Linked DNA regions of Sus scrofa. The protein of the gene in region 1 binds, or shares a complex with, the protein of each later gene. Links are inferred from orthologs where the notes say so. Each region holds a gene or a part of one and is shown on either strand. Other genes may lie near its edges.

Region 1 (3,518 bases):
TAATGAATCAACCTATTCTCTGTGCAAAAACATGGACAAGTTTTACAGACAGGGGTCACATAAACAAGCCACATAATAATGCACATGGTCTGACGCAAGGGCTGTTTTTGGTAAGCCAGGGAAAGGGAACGAAACTGGGCAAGGGAACATGAGGGACTTCAAGCTGATTTTGTTTCTTTTACCAAAGACAAAAAGAATATACAAAACAAAACTAAAAAACTCCATGAAGCAAAAATGACAAAATGTGAACATCTGTTAATTCTAATTGATAGGTACTTATTCATTGTATTCCTCTTCATTTTTAGACTTTTTTTTTTTTTTCTTTTAAAAGGGAATACAGCTCTAAGACTAACTTCCAAAATAAAGGGTTTTAATTAGTCTGAAGGGATCTCTCCAAGGTTTCTTGGGCTTGCCTTAGTTTTTTTTTTTTTTATTTTTTATTTTCCCACTGTACAGCAAGGGGGTCAGGTTATCCTTACATGTATACATTGCAATTACAGTTTTTCCCCCAGTTTTTTTTTTTTGTAGAATGCAAACTGGCATTTTACATGTTGCCTTGTTGTACTAGACGTGGATTAAAGAAGTCTTACTCCTGAGAGGTTAGTATCAAAAGCTCACGTGCAGGGGTACCTGTTTGGAGGGGGTGTTATTGGTAGCAGATGGGTACTTGATATTTTGCAGCTGCTGAAGGGCTGCCTGGTACTGCTCTGGGGAGTCGAGGCTGAAGGCGCTCTTCCATACTGCGGTCACCCTTTCCACGAAGCACCCTTCGCTGCCCGAGGGCCAAGCATTGTAAGAGGAGGAGGCGCTTTTGCCCTCCGAAAGCTGCTTTTCCTCTAGCTGCTTGGACAGCAGCTCCAGAAGGCAGAACACCAATCTCTGACCCTGGAACCAACAACAAAGGAGAGGAACTGTCAGGCAGGGAAGTGCTCAGTTATCTGGAGATTTCTCCAGTCTCTCAGTCTCCCTCTTTGCATTTGAGCAACCACAGACAATTTTTCCAGATGCCTTTTGAAAGATTCCTACCCAGAGCCCTTGGAGCTTAAGCAACCATATTTACAACATGAAATCCCAACTATAGCCCTATTCACCGAAACTTAAGCCACATGCAGCCCAGCTACCTACGACTTGTGGCCCAGTTTGAGCCAAGAGGGGGTGGACTCATCCAGTTTTTTCCCCTTGCCCAAACCTCAGATTAAGGAATACAGAAGTTAAAGCTTAACAGGCAGAAGGTGCTGGAACAGACAAGTTGTGTAGCTCTAAGGGCCGGGGCAGTGGTTAGGGGCCATGTCCAAGGAGGTTTAACCGAGGGAGTCAACTAGAAGAGAACAAAAGCAGAGAAAAGGCCTGGAGAAATACTTATTTTTACTGGATTTTCAGTTGCCATGAGATTCCTTGTGTACCCCCATAATATTTTCTCAGTTAAGCTTGGGAAGGTCTTTGTTCTTATAGCCAAAACAGCCCTTAGCAGAACAATGTTTAGCATAAACTTAGGTTTTTTTGCTTTATTAAGGTTGCCATTTTAGGGGAGAAAAAAAAGAAGTGCCAAATAACCACTCTGGAAACTTTTTTTTGTTATGGTTATCTCTCTAAATTTGGTCACTTTATAAATAATATACTAACCGACACTATCCTTTGAGGGTGTTCTACTTTTACCTCCATTTTTTATTTTGCAGTTCCCAGAAAGCTACGCCTCGCCTAACATTTTTCTTGGGTAAGGAATATTCAGCTAGGAACTCGGGTCTTTAGGCTGAGTACTGAAGGGAAAGAGGAACTGAAGAAATTCACATATTGCCTGACAAGCAAAGCTGTCTAAAATGGACCAGATGTTTACATGTTTTAAAAACTAGGTGAGGGAGTTCCCATCGTGGCGCAGTGGTTAACGAATCCGACTAGGAACCATGAGGTTGCGGGTTCGATCCCTGCCCTTGCCCCGTGGGTTAACGATCCGGCGTTGCCGTGAGCTGTGGTGTAGATTGCAGACACGTCTTGGATCCCGAGTTGTTGTGGCTCTGGCGTAGGCTGGCAGCTACAGCTCCGATTAGACCCCTAGCCTGGGAACCCTCCCATATGCCGCGGGAGCGGCCCAAGAAATGGCAAAAAGACAAAAAAAAAACCTAGATGAGTGTGCTGATGCTTTTAAAACAATCTGAATTTTGATGTGTCAAAAAGGACAGTGGTTATTTAAGTTACTCATTTTTAACCAGATGGAACAGAATACTTAACACAATGGTTTGATTTCCCCCAATTCGTTACAGCTTACAGTTGAAGAGGGCTGCTTTGGGCAGAGCACCAGCCAGCCTCTCTCTTCACTGATGTGCTGATGACATCAATGACGGGAGGCCAGACTGCCAGCCCAGAGAGGCTGAGCTGCTAAGCAATGGCGATACCTTTCAGGGACCACATTATCCCTTTCTCTGAGTCGGGTAAGGGAGAAGCCACAGTTCTTAAAGGGGCGCTGCATGGCCAGGACTTGCTGGACGCTTCTGGGGATAGCTGCCAAATTGGTACAGCTTGTCCAATTGGGTAATTCACTCAGACTCTGACTAGAAAAGGACTTGGGGCTCTTCCCTCTTAAAAGCAGGAGAGGCAGTAACAGACTGACCTTGAGACTTTCGTGGAGCTGCAGGGCTTCCTGGGCTCCCACCCAGTTCCTGGCCATAAGCAGCTCTTGGGCACATCTGAGAGCCAGGGAAGCAGACAACTCACTCTCTCCTACGATGGAAGCCAACTCTGCAGCGGTTCTAAGTGATGCCGCGTCCCCCTTTTTGGCCAAGACTTTGGCTGCGTCATAAGCCGAAGTGGCCCCTAAATAGCTGAAATACAAAAGAAAACTCAAGCCAAGGGTCATAGACAGATCTCTTACTCCTGCTTCATAGCGGGTTGAATCATTTCTTTCTGTCCACTTTGCTAGCGTGCTTTGCCGTGGTCCCGGTTGTGGCACTGCCTGTGGCTGTCCCTGTGAAGCCTGAGGCCAGCGCAGAAGGGAATGAGGCAGCATAATACAGGTTAAGGAGATAAAAGAAACCTCAACAGTTGCCAAGTTGAGCATAAGCAAAGAAGTCATTCCCTCTCATTTTCCACACTTAATGATAGAAGACATCCCCAAAGAAAGGTGTAATTTCTTGGACAGTTATGGTCATTTATATAAATGCCAAGTAGGTAGACCTTGATGAGTCTTATGAAGCTGGGTTTAACACACATATGCTTTTTAATTTGCTGGTCACCTTACCCCACCTCTAAACTCCTCGCTTCCATTCTTGTCCTGCTCTCTGTGGAACCTCTTCTTTTTGGGCGCCCTCCTCTTTGCCTCAGACTTACCATTTGGCTGCTAAGGCATAATGACCGTCTTTTTCTAGGATGGCTCCCCAGCTGAGGTACAGGTCTCTCAGGATTGGGTCCTCTGGGCGCAGCCGGGCCTTGGCAATGGCAATGGCCTCCCTAGAGGCAAGAATAGGCAATTAGCCAATCTGAAAAGGCTCCTCTGTAAGAGACCCTCAGAAGGGCTGCAGGGCAGG
Region 2 (3,518 bases), on another chromosome or scaffold:
AACAACTTTCAATTTATAATTTTCTTGAAAGGATCACTGGACTGGTGCTATAATTAATGTTGTTCATTACTGTGTAAAACCGCTATGATCTTGATTCTGCTATTTCACTTTAAAATTTCAGAGAAATTGTGATTTTTTCCCCCCCCGTTCCAAGTATAGTATAGACCTAATGGTCTTTTTATTTCAATTCTTATTTTATTTTATTTTATTTCATTTCATTGTTTGTCTTTTTTAGTGCTGCACCTGTAACACTTGGAAGTTCCCAGGCTAGAGGTCGAATTGGAGCTGCAGCTGCCAGCCTACATCACAGCCACAGCAACATGGAATCCAAGCTGCTTCTGTGACCTACACCACAGCTCACGGCAATGCCAGATCCTTAACCCACTGAGCAAGGCCAAGGCTCAAACCTGAATCCTCATGGATCCTAGTCAGGTTCATTACTGCTGATCCTCGATGTGAACTCCCTAATGGTCTTTTTAAAAAGACTTAATTTTTGTGATTATAAATGTATTCAATGTTTTTGCTGAAAATTAGAAAAAATATAATTTTGAAAATTTTACCCACAGTACTATAGTCATAGATAGCAGAAAGTTAGTGGTAGCTATATATTTGCTGGTCTTTTTGCCTTTTTGTATGTGCATATACATTTGTGTGGGTTTTTTGCTCTAGTTGTAGGGCTCTAATAAGTATAATTTTCATTTTTTTATTCTAAAATATTCTTAGCCATTGAAGTTCTTTGAAAACCTTACGAGGTGTATTGCTTCGCAGGTCATACCAAATCATGTATCAGTTTCCCCATTTTAACACTGCAGTGAGATTTAGGGGTACATCTGAGTATTTCCAAGAGAATCCTGTAAGTCAAATTACCAGTTCAGAGGTTAGGACCGTCATGGATGGAGTAGTCTGCAGCCTGCATGCTGCTTTGTCACCTGCCCAGCCCTACCCATCATGACCCTGGGTGGGCGCCTGCCACGCGCTTTGCACTCTGCTCTCCAGTGGGTAAATTCACAGGCATACACAGATAGACAATAATAGAAAAAGGTGTTGGAACAGTGAGAATCAGCAATTTTGCACAGGAAGCTTTGGGAGATGTTGTTTACTGTATTCTGCCTGAAGTTGGAACAAAATTGAACAAACAAGATGAGTTTGGTGCTTTGGAAAGTGTGAAAGCTGCTGGTGAACTCTGTTCTCTATCAGAAATTACTGAAATTAATGAGGCTCTTGCAGGAAAGCCAGGACTTGTAAACAAATCCTGTTATGAAGGTGGTTGATCAAGATGACACTTGATTGAGAACTATGTCTAGATACTCATGTCGCAACAGAAGAAAGGGTGGGGGAAAAAACTGTAACTGCAATGTATACATCTAAGGATAACCTGACCCCCTTGCTGTACAGTGGGAAAAAAAAAAAAAAAAAAAAAAAAAAAAGATGACACTTGAGTAAACCTTGAGACTTAGATGTACTGATGAGTGAGGAAGGGTATGAGAAATATATAAAATCTATTGAGTGAAAGTGGAATCCCTAAATAAACTAGTTTGAAACAAAGGGTAGGAATGTGTTTAAAGTTCTTAGTACACATGCCACTTATTTTCCATAAAGAATATACTACATTATACTCTGACCAGCATCCCAACTTTTTCTCTAAAGGGTCACTTGCAGAGCTAAGCTTCCCTGAATGGTGGAAGGAAAGAGAAGGCAATCAAAAGGGAGAAGAGCAATTAAGAATGTAAAGAGGTTCATACACATACAATGATAATAATGGAATGTTATTGTCCAGAACCATTTGGTTATAACAGCTGTGTTCATTGCTTCTGGATTTGGGCCCTATGCAGCCCTCCTATAGAACAATGCCTCAAATCTCATTTTGGTGGCAGAGATTTGCTCGCCTATTAAATATTTGACCCAGAAAGTTGCTTTTTAGTGATCCTTCATAAGTTATATCTAACTTTAATTTTCAAGCTTTGTAGTGTGTGTTGATGGGAATAGGATGGCAGCATATAGGAACTGGAATGCTCTCGCGTTTTGTGTTAGAGACCTTTCAGGTTTGTTTTTTTTTTTTTTTTTTTTGGGGGGCCATACCTGTGGCATATGGAGATCAGCAGGCTAGGGGACAAATTGGAGCTATACCTGCCAGCCTACACCACAGCCACAGGGACACCAGATCGGAGCCGCATCTGCAACCTACACCACAGCTCACGGCAACACCGGATCCTTAATCCACTGAGCAAGGCCAGGGATCAAATCTACAACCTCACAGTTCCTAGTCAGATTCATTTCTGCTGCACCACAACGGAAACTCCACCTTTCAGGATTTTTAGGGTTGGATTGGAATAGACCCAGTGTCCCAACTCGTTGTTACTCAAGTGGAGCTATTGTTATGCATTGATTTTTAGTATGTAGCTATAGTTCCAGTTTTAGTTATTGTTTTATAGCCTGATAGAAATATTTAAATTTTTTTCTAGTTTGGACCCAATTAAATCCTTTGAAGCTCCTGCAACCATCAATTCTGCATCTCTTCATCCTGAGAAAGAATTTCTTGTTGCAGGTGGTGAAGATTTTAAACTTTATAAGTATGATTATAATAGTGGAGAAGAATTAGGTGAGTTGTCCTCTTTTACTCCCTTAAAGTGATGATCTTTTTACATTTTGGTTTTTTTTGGGGGGAAAACTGATGGCTTTGGGTTGGGTAAGTGCAATATTATAGACCAAATAGAATCTGTTTAATTGTTTATGGTTCACCATTTATCGCTTGAATTAAGTGACTTTTAAATAAGAGATTCTTTCTGATTATTTAATGTCACTTTTCAGAGTTTTAGAATGTTTTGGCCGCATGTTAAAGAAGAGAAGTAAATTATTTGCCTGATATTTGTGGTCACAATTAGTGAAACTGAACTTGGACCCAGCCAGCCATTCTTATTTCAAAACCTAATATTCTTTCTACACATAATTTTTTACACTCATGATAACACGCTCATGATATTGTCTAGGAGGAGAGAGTGCATGAGTGTCCTTAAGTTGAATAGACATGGAGACTGAGCAGGGAACATTGCTGTAGTAAAGAGCTTTGGAAATTGATAAGGTGATGAGGTATTAGAAAGTAAAAGAAAAAAGGTTTATAAATAAGGATATGCCTTAAGCAGAACCACACCACTGCTGAACTGTACATTTTCTCATTAAACTCCATATGAGCATCAGCATTGATCCTGGATCTCAATGTTCTCTGTGGGATGGAATGACTAGTAGACCCTAGATAGTCTGATAGGAAATTAAGATGCAGAGTGTGTCAGATAGCTCCATCTGGTGGCTGTCTGTAGTCATAATAAGAATTGGTTCCCTGGTAAATAGTTGAGGATTTGGAAATGGGCAATCGATAGACTTTAGATTCTATAGATTTTAGAGGGTATTTTCCTTTCCTGGACCGCCCCACAGCACACGGACTTTCCCAGGCTGGGGATCAGATCAAGGCACAGTCACGACCCAAGCTGCAGCTGCAGCAATGCTGGATCCTTAATCCCAAC

Evidence for each region. Proteins that work in one complex are often made in the same cells at the same time.
Region 2: GEMIN5 (region 1) and STRAP share a complex: the UniProt entries of both Homo sapiens proteins name them as parts of the SMN-Sm complex. The link is inferred for Sus scrofa from reciprocal best matches to the Homo sapiens genes GEMIN5 and STRAP.

The regions. Positions count from the first base shown.
Region 1 is NC_010458.4:68,317,215-68,320,732, reverse strand, and holds part of GEMIN5 (gem-associated protein 5), read right to left. Parts: intron 3,442-3,518; coding exon 3,322-3,441; intron 2,817-3,321; coding exon 2,606-2,816; intron 886-2,605; coding exon 631-885; intron 1-630. UniProt on the Homo sapiens protein: The SMN complex catalyzes the assembly of small nuclear ribonucleoproteins (snRNPs), the building blocks of the spliceosome, and thereby plays an important role in the splicing of cellular pre-mRNAs.
Region 2 is NC_010447.5:56,719,873-56,723,390, reverse strand, and holds part of STRAP (serine-threonine kinase receptor-associated protein), read left to right. Parts: intron 1-2,462; coding exon 2,463-2,599; intron 2,600-3,518. UniProt on the Homo sapiens protein: The SMN complex catalyzes the assembly of small nuclear ribonucleoproteins (snRNPs), the building blocks of the spliceosome, and thereby plays an important role in the splicing of cellular pre-mRNAs.